2 linked regions of the Caenorhabditis elegans genome follow. The protein of the gene in region 1 interacts with the protein of each later gene in a pairwise test. Each region holds a gene or a part of one and is shown on either strand. Other genes may lie near its edges.

Region 1 (6,784 bases):
TATATGTTTATTGCCAACATGAATCACACAATCGGTGAATAGCTCATCTTCCCACATACTTCGATTATTTGCGCGTACAATTACTTCAGGCATTTCTTCTTGCTCCTCTGTGCTAACATCTTCGTCCACAACTGGCTCAACTGATATTTTTGATCCAGGAGGGAAGTATTCAACTTCACAAATCAAAAAGAGAGTTCCGTCAGATCGAAGTGCCCCAAGCATCTTATCACGCGAAACTTGGAACTTTCCACGCCCTTGTTGGTTTGTGAAATCTTTGGTATCTCTGCATACACTGACTCTTTGATTATTAGCATCGAGAGCATAAATTTGAAATTCTGTCATGATGGGCTCCTCTCCTCTCTGAAAAAGGTTTTTATATTTTATATATAGAAAATATGAATGAAACTTACGGCTAATCCAACTTGTCTCAAGAAAAACGATACATTATTCACATCTTCATCACGCTTTCCATTTGGATACACATGAAGTTCCCAGCAAACTGTTGGCGCATCAGGGACACTAAACATTCTTGAAATAAGATTCGAACCGTTTTTGATTAGTTTCATCAATTTCTCAAATTGTTCGATTTTCCATTCCAATTTTGTAGAAAGTGCCGTCACACGCGTTGCTTGCTTCGAAACTACTTCTAGACGGCGAGGTTGTGGAGGAAGATCGTCAGCTGAAAATGAAAATAATGTTAAACTCTCAAATTAATTGAGCTATTCTCACTAACCTCTGGAACTGATTGTGCGATTAATCTGCTCCGTGGATGACCACGAGGAACGTGAAGACATATTATATTGCGAATAAGTTTTACCTCTGTTGATAAGTTGAGCGAGCAAGAGGTTATTCTGAAAATAAATTCAATTAAAAGAAAGCTATTCCCGATAATCTCGATAAAAATAAAAGAAAATGATTAAATTCAAAAAGACACAACAACTGGGAAACTCCGCGAATGAATTATTTACGAAAAGCAGGAGTTCTTTGTTAGAGTTACGAAATAAGCAATACGATTTTCGAAACCGATCTACGAAAAATTACACATATTAGAAAAGTATTAAAATTACGAAATCGCCGTTTGATATTCGAAAATACTACCTTTTTTTTAAGTTGGACAGTTTTTAAAGTTTTCAAAAGGAGATCTTCATGAACTCGTCTATGAGGAATAAATGTGGTACATTTCAATATAAAATGGGTAACAATGACAGTTTGGAAATAATTTCCTTTTCGAAAAATTGATATTTGTACAAAATTCGGAACAGTTTCGAAAAAATGATATTACCCCAGTCACATGACTTGAAAAAGGAAAAGTTGCAATTCAGAAGCTTTACTCAGATTCTGAGGGCAATAGAAAATGCCAATAAGTTTTCGAAAAATCAATAAATTTTTTCGGGCAGATGTCTTTCCTCGGCGGCGGCGAACGCGAACGCAAATAATGGCTGCCAAGAAGAGGCGGGTCTATTGATCGAAACATTACGCCGAAGAGTGTTTGAATTACCGGGCACCGTAACCTCAAACACCTGCAGATCTAAGTACGACGCTCCACTCGACACAATTGCGCGCGTTGTTTAGATTTAAGGAAATTTAAATTTTACTTTCGAAAATAGAAATTATCGGTTTTTATTCATGATTTTCTGGTTCAGTCTGAATAAATTCCGTTTTTTAATGTAAATTTTGTGCGCTATTAACTGTAATGCACAATTCCAACTATCAATTCATGTGATCTTACAGTCTAAACAAAGACAAATCTCTCTTTCCAGTTTCTCTACAGTAATACTTATTTTTCCTTGCTCGTCAACTCATTGATTAGTTTTAATTCTATTTTTATATAGTGTGTTATAGGTATGGCCAACTACGGCGGTCATCCCCAAACTGAACCACATGCTATCCCGGATTCAATTCTGGAAGAAAAGTCTCGAAAATGGAAACAACTTCAAGGAAAGCGGTATTCGGAGAAAAAGAAGTTTGGAATGTCCGATACGCAGAAAGAAGAAATGCCACCTGAGCACGTCCGAAAAGTTATCAGAGATCATGGTGATATGACTTCTCGCAAATATCGTCATGATAAAAGAGTCTACCTCGGTGCTTTGAAATATATGCCACATGCCGTTTTGAAGCTACTGGAGAACATGCCGATGCCCTGGGAACAAATCAGAGATGTAAAAGTTCTGTATCACATCACCGGTGCGATCACTTTTGTCAACGACATTCCGCGTGTCATCGAGCCGGTCTACATGGCACAATGGGGAACGATGTGGATTATGATGAGAAGAGAAAAACGTGATCGTCGTCATTTCAAGCGAATGAGATTCCCTCCATTTGACGATGAAGAACCGCCTCTCGATTATGCTGATAATATTCTGGATGTCGAGCCTTTAGAGCCAATTCAAATGGAACTAGATCCAGAAGAAGACGGAGCTGTTGCTGAATGGTTCTACGATCACAAGCCTCTTGCAACAACTCGATTTGTGAACGGCCCAACGTACAGAAAATGGGCATTCAGTATTCCACAGATGTCCACATTGTATCGTCTTGCAAATCAGCTGCTTACCGATTTAGTAGATGATAACTACTTCTACTTGTTTGACATGAAAAGTTTCTTCACTGCTAAAGCACTCAACGTTGCAATTCCAGGAGGCCCGAAGTTCGAACCATTGGTAAAAGATTTACATACGTAAGTGAAAAGCTTCCAGTTGTGTTATGACGCATACTATTTTATTATTTTCAGTGATGAAGACTGGAACGAGTTCAATGATATCAATAAAGTTATTATTCGAGCTCCAATTCGTACCGAGTACAGAATTGCATTCCCATTCATGTACAACAATCTGATCAGCTCGCTGCCTGTTCAAGTTTCATGGTATCATACTCCTTCAGTTGTATTTATCAAAACTGAAGACCCAGATCTTCCCGCATTCTACTATGATCCATTGATCAATCCAATCGTTCTCAGCAACTTGAAAGCAGTGAGTTATTTACAAGTTTCAGCAATGTTTTAAAATAAAATGCGGATATTATAAACAGATTCCTATAAATTTACAAGGTAGTCAGTAGCCGAAATTCGCAATATAAATTTTCCATTAAAGGCGAGAAATCATCCTTTTTGTCGGTGATATCTAGAAATAAAACTGGAGACAATTCGTATTGTATGTCAAAACATTTTCAGACTGAAGAAAATCTACCAGAAGGTGAAGAGGAAGACGAGTGGGAGCTGCCTGAAGATGTTCGACCCATTTTTGAAGACGTTCCACTCTACACCGATAACACGGCTAATGGTTTAGCACTTCTATGGGCCCCTCGGCCATTCAATCTTCGATCGGGAAGAACGAGAAGAGCAGTGGATGTACCACTTGTCAAATCGTGGTATAGAGAACATTGTCCAGCAGGTTAGTTTTGTTTCTATTTTTTTCGTTTCGTTTCTCGCATACTAAGCTGAAATAATATATTCAATTTTTCAGGAATGCCCGTGAAAGTTCGTGTTTCTTATCAGAAACTGCTCAAGGTGTTTGTTCTGAACGCTCTCAAACATCGTCCACCGAAGCCCCAGAAGCGTCGTTATCTGTTCCGTTCCTTCAAGGCAACAAAATTCTTCCAAACAACCACCCTGGATTGGGTAGAAGCTGGATTGCAAGTTCTTCGTCAAGGATACAACATGCTCAATTTGCTCATTCACCGAAAGAATCTCAACTATCTTCATCTTGATTACAACTTCAATTTGAAACCAGTTAAAACATTGACAACAAAGGAAAGAAAGAAATCTCGTTTCGGAAATGCATTCCATTTGTGCAGAGAAATCCTTCGTCTCACAAAACTTGTTGTTGATGCCCATGTTCAGTATCGTTTGAACAACGTCGATGCGTACCAACTTGCAGATGGTCTACAATATATCTTTGCTCACGTCGGTCAACTGACCGGAATGTATCGTTACAAGTACAAGCTCATGAGACAAGTCAGAATGTGCAAGGATCTCAAGCATCTCATCTACTATCGTTTCAACACTGGGCCGGTTGGTAAAGGACCTGGATGTGGTTTTTGGGCTCCGGGATGGAGAGTTTGGTTGTTCTTCTTGCGTGGAATCACACCACTGCTCGAGAGATGGCTTGGAAATCTGTTGTCTCGACAATTCGAAGGAAGACATTCAAAGGGAGTGGCCAAGACAGTCACCAAGCAAAGAGTTGAATCTCATTTCGATCTTGAATTACGGTAAGCTTTAAATGGCAAGAAAACGAATTTATTTATTAATATTTTCAGTGCTGCTGTCATGCATGACATTCTGGATATGATGCCGGACGGAATCAAACAAAATAAGGCTCGTGTTATTCTTCAGCATTTGTCAGAGGCGTGGAGATGTTGGAAGGCTAATATTCCATGGAAGGTTCCCGGACTGCCAACTCCAGTTGAAAATATGATTCTACGTTATGTGAAAGCAAAGGCTGATTGGTGGACTAATTCGGCACATTACAACAGAGAACGTGTAAGACGAGGAGCGACAGTAGACAAAACTGTGTGCAAGAAGAACTTGGGTAGATTGACAAGATTATACCTGAAATCAGAGCAAGAAAGACAACACAATTACTTGAAGGACGGACCATATATCTCTGCAGAAGAAGCTGTTGCAATTTACACGACTACAGTACATTGGCTGGAATCAAGAAGATTTTCTCCGATTCCTTTCCCACCACTTTCTTACAAACACGACACAAAACTTCTTATTTTGGCTCTTGAAAGACTGAAGGAAAGTTACAGTGTGAAGAATAGATTGAATCAATCCCAAAGAGAAGAACTGGCTTTAATTGAACAGGCTTATGATAATCCTCACGAAGCTTTGTCTCGTATCAAGAGACACATGCTCACGCAGCGTGCATTCAAAGAAGTCGGAATTGAGTTTATGGATCTCTACACTCATCTTATTCCAGTCTACGATATCGAGCCTCTTGAGAAAGTCACTGACGCTTACCTCGATCAATACCTCTGGTATGAAGCAGACAAGAGAAGATTGTTCCCGGCATGGGTGAAACCAGGAGATACTGAACCACCACCGCTTCTTACATACAAATGGTGTCAAGGTCTCAACAATCTTCAAGATGTTTGGGAGACAAGTGAAGGAGAGTGTAATGTCATCATGGAAACAAAATTGGAGAAAATTGCTGAAAAAATGGATTTGACACTTCTCAATAGATTGCTCAGATTGATTGTGGATCACAATATTGCCGATTACATGACTTCGAAGAACAACGTTCTCATCAACTATAAGGATATGAACCACACCAATTCTTTCGGAATTATTCGTGGTCTACAATTTGCTTCGTTTATTGTTCAATTCTATGGATTAGTTCTTGATCTTCTTGTTCTTGGACTTCGACGAGCTTCCGAAATTGCCGGTCCGCCCCAATGTCCAAACGAGTTCTTGCAATTCCAGGATGTTGCCACAGAAATTGGTCACCCTATTCGTCTCTACTGCCGGTACATCGACCGAGTTTGGATCATGTTCCGTTTCAGTGCTGATGAAGCACGTGATTTGATTCAAAGATACTTGACAGAGCATCCAGATCCGAATAATGAGAATATTGTCGGTTATAACAACAAAAAGTGTTGGCCAAGAGACGCTAGAATGAGATTGATGAAACATGATGTCAATTTGGGTCGTGCTGTCTTCTGGGATATCAAGGTAAATTTTATTTTTAATTATTTTTTTAAAATTTTAACACGAGGTATAAGAAAGCGAGCAATTATTCGATGGCTGCTCGTTGATAATTCCTCGAAAACTAATGGAAATTAAGCGATTATCCGCCTCATGAACAGATCCATCATTTAACTTGAATGATAAGGTCTACTTGACAGGCGTACATTAAAATGTAGAATTTACTATTTTGATTTTTAAATATTTGTTATTTTACAGAACCGTCTCCCACGTTCCATCACAACTGTCGAGTGGGAAAATTCATTCGTATCAGTGTACAGTAAGGATAACCCGAACATGTTGTTCGACATGTCCGGATTCGAGTGTCGTATTCTACCAAAGTGTCGTACGGCTAATGAAGAGTTTGTTCATCGTGATGGTGTATGGAATCTTCAAAACGAAGTGACAAAGGAAAGAACTGCTCAGTGCTTCTTGAAGGTCGATGAGGAGTCATTGTCCAAATTCCATAACAGAATTCGTCAAATTTTGATGTCTTCTGGATCTACAACGTTCACCAAAATTGTCAACAAATGGAATACAGCATTGATCGGATTGATGACCTACTTCAGAGAAGCTGTTGTGAACACTCAAGAACTTTTGGATTTATTGGTGAAATGTGAGAATAAAATTCAAACGAGAATCAAGATTGGACTCAACTCAAAAATGCCCTCAAGATTCCCTCCAGTTGTTTTCTATACGCCAAAAGAAATCGGAGGACTTGGAATGCTATCTATGGGACACGTCTTGATCCCACAGTCTGATCTTCGATGGATGCAACAAACGGAAGCTGGAGGTGTCACTCACTTCCGTTCCGGAATGAGTCACGATGAAGACCAATTGATTCCAAATCTGTACAGATATATTCAACCTTGGGAAGCAGAGTTTGTCGATTCTGTTCGTGTGTGGGCAGAATATGCGCTCAAGAGACAAGAAGCCAACGCTCAAAATAGAAGACTCACTTTGGAAGATCTCGACGATTCATGGGATCGTGGAATTCCGAGAATCAATACTTTGTTCCAAAAAGATCGTCACACATTGGCATACGATAAAGGATGGCGTGTTAGAACCGAATTCAAGGCTTATCAAATTCTGAAGCAAAATCCA
Region 2 (6,784 bases), 1.5 Mb from region 1:
TCAGACTATAAATCAATTGTTTTTCAGACTCTGGGCAGACAACGAAACTCTTCTCACAAATACTCACTTCCGCGAGTTTGTACATTGCCTTGCTCCAGAATACGAGATCCCTGACGTTGATATTCTGGCAACTAGCCTTGTGGATCAATACTAAACAATTCTAGAAAATGATTCTCCTGTTTCTTTTTTCTCAATATTCTCCATTCCTACACCTATGTATGTGCATTTATTCGCGTTTTAGAGCTGAATTCGTTGTTCTTTTTTTCCATTTAGTAGATGCATTCTCGCATTCATGTTTTTGGGTCTTTTACGTCTTTCATCAAACTTTCTTCTCACATTGCCGCAATATTCTGATAGGATTCTGTCTCCATTCTGATACCTCATAGCCCCACACACACACCCCCACACCTGATTTGTACGTGGCCATTGCTTCCCCTTTTCTAACTTTTATGTCGGTGAACTTTTCCCCCTTTCTGAAAATATTCCACTTCTTTATTGTCATCTAAAAGATTGTCTGGAATTCAAAAACCCGTGTTTGTAAAAATGTGACTCCCGATTCGCGCCGATTCATAAGCCCCTCCCTCCCAAACAATCTTTCCACTTTTTTTGTCTCACTATTGAAATCATTCAAAGAATTCTTTCACTGCATGCACCGAGATCTATTAATAATTAGAAGGATGCTGTCATCCCTCTACTGGCACACATTCCCTCGAATCTAATCAAATCTTTCATTCATCATTCGTCGTTTTTTTTTTCGTTCTTTTTTGTCTGTTCTCAAACATATATATTTTTTGTGTGTCCTCGAATGTTCGCCCGAAAAAATGAACATTTTTCTATTGCTCAGGGGGTTTTTTTCAGTAGAGCCATCATTGTAATATGTAAAAAGTTTTTTTTTCGTAAATTCGAATTATCCTGTATCATCCGATCAATCGTTTTGCGTGGTGTGACAACAATATTTCAAATTTTTATTTTCGTTTTGAAGAAAATAAAATTTTAATTGAATAAACTTTTGAATCAATTGATTTTATCAATAAAATTACAGGGATATTACGAAGACGCGACAGTTTGGGATTTTTGTACCAAAAATACGGTACCTGATCTCCACATGATAAATTTTTGTTATCTGCGAAAAGATGTGCGCCTTTAAAAAGTACTGTATTTTTCAACTCTCGTTGCTACGGAACTTTCATTGATTTTTCATAATTCTTCGATGATGAACAAAAATCGTGAAAAAAACAACAAAAAAATTTCAAATCACAGTACTCATTGAAGCCCTTTTCACATTTAACAAAAATATTTATGTCGTGTCGAGACCGGGTACCGTACTTTTGAAACAAAAATCTCAAAATACCGCGTCTGGATAATATGGAAAACATTTATATTTTTTAATTTCTAAATATCGGTTATTTCAATTTTAAAGGCATATTTTTGCATTCCTAGGCTTGAAATATAAGTATTTAAACCCTATAAATTCGCGCTGCAACTTTTAAAATTTGAAAAAGCGCGCATTTCAAGATAGCGTGGCAAGACCCAACTTCTAAAATGCGTGCGCCTTTGACAATCACGTTTTCACTTTCTTGTTCAGTCGCTACTGGCACCTTCGTCGCCGCTATTTATCGAGAATTAGTTTCTCAAATTTATTTTTTTATTTTCAAAAGATTTTTAAATGGTTTAATCATGTGCAATCGATATTTTTTCCACGTAAAAAGAAGTATAATTACTCTCTTCTTAATTTTTTGAAATTTCGTAACCATCGATTTATTGGTGCGTGTTCCTGAAAAATACACCACGTTTTTGCTTAATTTCATTCAAATTAATCGATAATTCTATATTTATTTCTAGATAGATGGAGCAATCCTCCCTACTTCTGAAGAAACAGCTGGCAGGTGAGTTGGGATTAAACGTGATCTATGATCAAAACTAACTTTTTTCTGTTTCCAGACATGCGCAGAGTTCCAGTCGACGGATTCTCGGCAGGTCTCGTCGATGACAATGACATCTACAAATGGGAAGTCCTGGTGATCGGACCACCAGATACTCTCTAGTAAGTTGTTTGTTTGTGAAAATTGTAATTAGTTTTTTCTTGCAGCGAGGGAGGTTTCTTCAAGGCTATTCTCGACTTTCCAAGGGATTACCCACAAAAACCACCAAAGATGAAGTTCATTTCGGAAATTTGGCATCCAAACAGTTAGTATTTACTGAAACAAGTCGATTTTACACATAAAATATTTCAGTTGACAAGGAAGGTAACGTGTGCATCTCGATTCTTCACGATCCCGGAGATGATAAGTGGGGTTACGAACGTCCGGAAGAGCGTTGGCTGCCTGTGCATACTGTCGAGACGATCCTTCTTTCTGTCATCTCAATGCTCACGGATCCTAACTTTGAATCTCCTGCAAACGTTGATGCAGCGGTTCGTCTAAACAATGAAAAATAACCGAAATATTTTAATTTTTTCAGAAAATGCAACGTGAAAACTACGCCGAGTTCAAAAAGAAAGTTGCTCAATGTGTTCGCAGAAGTCAAGAAGAATGATTTGAACATTGCATCAACAGAGAAGAAGCATTAATTTAACTCGTCGTTCATATGAAACTATCCACTTTGATCTTCTTTTTCTTACTCATTCACCCCATTTTTTGACACCACGTGTTTCTAATTTCTTTCCTCATAAGCGTTGGACTCGTTACTTTTTATTCCCCTTAACATTTTTTTGAACGCAAAACCTGTGAATTTGCTTCGTAATTTTTTTTTGTCTAGTGGTGGTGCTCTTTTCCTTTTGTTAACATCCAAACTATAGTTACAACTATGCAACTCGTTTTTTTTCTGAGAGCGGTACCACATGTTTATTTGTTTGGTATGAATTCACAATCCTCGTGATGCTACTTCTTATCTTTTATGAGAAAATAAAATTTTTTTTTCACTAAATACAATCAATTTCATCTCTGATAAATATGTCATTCGTTCGAAATACATTAGACGGAAAATAACGAAAACCGTTCCGCGTGCCTCGCAATTGCAAAAACTGCGTGCGAGCGTTGCAAAAAGAGGCGGGGCTTCATTTGGAAAATATTTAAAAATTATTTTTTTAATTTGATCTGTTTCAGTTATTAAAAGTGATTTTCAGCTCGAAATGGGAAAGAAAAATGAAAAGATAGTAGAAGAAGCTGAAAAGGTAGAAGCAGAAACAATGGAAGTCGACGAACAACCACAGGAAACCCCACAAGTGGACGACGAAGAAGATTTGAACGTACCTTCAAAAAAGAAAATGGAAATTGTAAGTTTTCTACACTATTCCTCTAAAAAAATGTTCTGTTTTACAGCTGGACCCAAAAAGTTTCGAACAAGATCCATCTAATTTGACGCTTATCATGTACGAGGAAGATCACACTATTGGAAATTCAATCAAGCACATTTTGAGCAGAATGTATGTTTTACGAACGAATCGATCAGATGTAATTGTTGTTTAATTTCAGGGATGAAGTTGAATTTTGTGGTTACAACGTTCCACATCCTCTGGAAGACAAGATTTTGTTCAGAGTGCAGACAAAGGATGGTATTAATGCTCTGGAAGTTCTCGCGAAGGCATTCGAAAGTGTTGAACAAATTTTTTCCACGATTAGAGGGAAATTTGAAGAGTCTTATGAGCAAAGCCAATCGTAAAATTGCTATTCATTTTGTCATTATTTGTTATCCATTTTGTTGTTTTGATGTTTTTGTTTGACTTCACCCATTTCAATCTGAAATGAAAAATTTGTATTGGCAAAGATAATTATTTGTGATTCACGTTTTTATGTTTTATTCAAAATATGCCATATTTTTGTTTGCATCAAAGATTTTCTCAATCCAAATCTCCAGATGTCCGGTACGGGTGCCTTGATGACTGTCCACGTTGGACAGTGCGGAAATCAGCTTGCTCAAGCCTTCTGGAAATCGATGGTCGACGAACATGGAATCAATGAGTAGGGAATAAATTTGAGGCACCGACAATTTCAATTAGGCAAAATTCGATATACCACAGTCCGAAATGTGAAAACTATTGCAATTTTTATATTTCAATACTGAAATGCTGCAATTGTGAATTGTTCTCGTGAATCGACATGATTGAAAACAAAATATGAATTATTTTACTTTTGTTTGAGATGAAACAAACATTTTTGCTAAGTTAAATAATTTAAGACGCAATTTATTCAAGGTCATAATTCAGCCTCATAATTTTGATAAATATAACAATTTTTTTCGTTTTCAGACGTGGACAAACAACTCACGAAGACGATATGAATGATAAGAAAGATCTATTGTTCTACCAGGCTGATGACGATCATTATGTGCCAAGAGCAGTTCTAGTCGATCTAGAACCTCGTGTAATCAACGGAATGATGCAGTCTCCAAACTTTTCGAATCTTTTCAATACGGACAATATATTCATGTCCGATCACGGAGGTGGTGCTGGAAATAATTGGGCAAGTGGATATTGTCAAGGACAGTGAGTTGTATTTCTTTAATTGAAAATCAATGATAAATAATATTTAAGAGAAGTTCAAGAGAAGATAATGGATATCATCATTCGAGAGGCTGAAAATACGAACAATTTGGATGGAATTCTATTTACTCATAGTGTTTCTGGAGGAACTGGATCTGGAACGGGATCTCTCTTGCTCGAAAGGCTTCGCGAAGCATTTCCGAAGAAAGTTATTCAAACTTACAGTGTTTTTGCAAATAGTGACACCAGTACTGACGTTGTTGTTCATCCATATAACTGGGTACTTTCTATGCAAAGACTTATTGAGAATCCTGGTAAGTTAATAAATTAAAAACGAAATGACAATGATTTATCGAAAAATCTATGAAAATTCCGCAACAACGAACGTTTGAAATTACAGTACCCTTAAAAGGCTCACATATATTCGCATTAAGTGAAAAAGACCGGGTACCGTCTCAATTTTTGTATCTGAGTAATAATAAAAAAAAGGAATTTCAAATAAATAGTTTTCAGATCATGTTGTTGTCCTCGATAATGCTGCACTGCACCGTCTTGCGGCTGGAAAATTCAAAACAGATACACCAACATTTGATCATATCAATTCTCTTGTCGCCCGAATCATGAGCACTTCCACTGCTCCATATCGATTCAACTCTGCAATGTGCCCATCAATTCGGTATTTGGATTTGGCTCCGTTTCCACCAATGCACTTTATTCAATCCGGTTTGTTTTTATTCCGAAATATGTTATTTTATCTATTTATTTTGTTTTTTGCAGCTATCTCTCCTGTTGTCGATCCAAATGAGAACTTTACCCGAAAAACTTCAGTCGCTGACGTCACTCGCTTCTTGTTAAAACCAACTTCAATGATGGTTTCAACTGCTTCTCGGGTTCGGCCAAATGACTGCATGCTATCAGCTTACATGTTCCTTCAAGGACAAATTGAGGCACATACAATTATGACTGCTGAGCAAAACGTTGATGTAAGCTCAATACTTTAAAGAATTTCCGGGAAAATTGAAAAATAAATTTACTAAATCAACCATAAAATTCAATTTTTATCAAATTTTGTTTATGTTCATGAAAACTATAAGAAAGCATATAAATATTTTCTAAAAATAAAAATAAGCAACTTTAAAAAATATTTTTCGAGATATCGGAAAAACGAAAAATTTTCGTAAGCTAATTTTGGAGATGTAGATTTTATTCTCAAAACACGAAGGCGGTCACAAATACCGAGATACTGCAAACGAAAAAAATCTTCAAATTACATTGCAAAAATGAGCGCTTATTTTGACGAATCAGCAATTGTGAAGCAAACTTTTTTAAAAAGTATTTTTGACATGAAGTAAAAAATTTTTAGAAACTTGGAAATTTGACAAAAGCGTGGCAATTCAAATAACACATTAGTCAGAAAATCAAAAATGCACCAATAAAATCACTATTTTAAAGACAAAATTAGTGATTAATAATGACTTTTTTTCGTTATTTTTCTATAATCCACCTTAAAGCATCAAATCAATAAAATCAAATTTCAGTTCGCAATCAGAAGGCCTCCATTCTACATGCTTAAACCACTTCGAATGATGCATGCTCCACTCTCTCCATATGTTCGGCCACAATACAAAGTATCTGGACTCTTGCTCAATAACAGCACAAGCGTGGCTCCGTTATTCGAATCGCTTCTCTCCAAATACGACAAACTACGATCAAAGAGAGCCTTCATCGACAAGTTTGAAAAGATTGACAATTTCTCGCTGGATATGATGGACGATGCAATGCACATTGTGCAAGACTTGCTGGACGAGTACAAGGCGGTCGTACAAAAGGACTATCTGACAAGAGGGCTTTAGATTTATTATTATTTATTCTCGCGGGATTCTCATTCACTTCTTAAAACGGATCTCTGTCGATTATCATATGCTGTGTTTATTGTATTATTTATATCATGTGCTCCTCATCATCATCATAATTTTCACATAAATATTGGTACTCTTGTCTCAGTGGTTGTACTATTGAGGTTTATTTAAATTATTTAGTTATGATTATTGCGCGATAGCAATAGAGAGACATATTGAGGTCTGAAAATGAAAGTGTTTCAAGCTGCACATACGGTCAACAAAACCACCGGGTGAAAAATGAAAAAAAGAGGAAATCGACACGATTTGTGTAAAAGTAACGGGGCAGTGTCTGGAGATGAACAAGACTGGAAAAAAAGGAAAATGAAAAAACAAAAAGTTATCGGTGGGGAGAACGAAACAATGGATAGGTCCGTGAGAGCGCGGGAAATAAGGAAGCTAGATT

Evidence for each region.
Region 2: the proteins of prp-8 (region 1) and tbg-1 interact in a two-hybrid assay, tested with the Caenorhabditis elegans proteins (one large-scale study listed by BioGRID).

The regions. Positions count from the first base shown.
Region 1 is NC_003281.10:8,162,533-8,169,316, forward strand, and holds the start of prp-8 (Pre-mRNA-splicing factor 8 homolog), read left to right. Parts: upstream 1-1,840; 5' UTR 1,841-1,844; coding exon 1,845-2,674; intron 2,675-2,728; coding exon 2,729-2,966; intron 2,967-3,007; exon of another isoform or gene 3,008-3,140; intron 3,141-3,166; coding exon 3,167-3,386; intron 3,387-3,458; coding exon 3,459-4,203; intron 4,204-4,251; coding exon 4,252-5,668; intron 5,669-5,681; exon of another isoform or gene 5,682-5,851; intron 5,852-5,899; coding exon 5,900-6,784. Other genes in the region: bath-42 (BTB and MATH domain-containing protein 42), read right to left, coding at 1-360, 411-679, 734-794. UniProt on the Caenorhabditis elegans protein: Functions as a scaffold that mediates the ordered assembly of spliceosomal proteins and snRNAs. Required for the assembly of the U4/U6-U5 tri-snRNP complex.
Region 2 is NC_003281.10:9,626,226-9,633,009, reverse strand, and holds tbg-1 (Tubulin gamma chain), read left to right. Parts: upstream 1-3,855; coding exon 3,856-3,959; intron 3,960-4,246; coding exon 4,247-4,483; intron 4,484-4,531; coding exon 4,532-4,794; intron 4,795-4,993; coding exon 4,994-5,203; intron 5,204-5,257; coding exon 5,258-5,463; intron 5,464-6,018; coding exon 6,019-6,333; 3' UTR 6,334-6,478; downstream 6,479-6,784. Other genes in the region: gei-13 (Gex-3-interacting protein 13), read left to right, coding at 28-154; ubc-7 (putative ubiquitin-conjugating enzyme E2 7), read left to right, coding at 1,847-1,886, 1,942-2,044, 2,090-2,187, 2,235-2,413, 2,461-2,535; rpac-19 (putative DNA-directed RNA polymerases I and III subunit RPAC2), read left to right, coding at 3,131-3,274, 3,321-3,424, 3,474-3,660. UniProt on the Caenorhabditis elegans protein: Tubulin is the major constituent of microtubules. The gamma chain is found at microtubule organizing centers (MTOC) such as the spindle poles or the centrosome, suggesting that it is involved in the minus-end nucleation of microtubule assembly.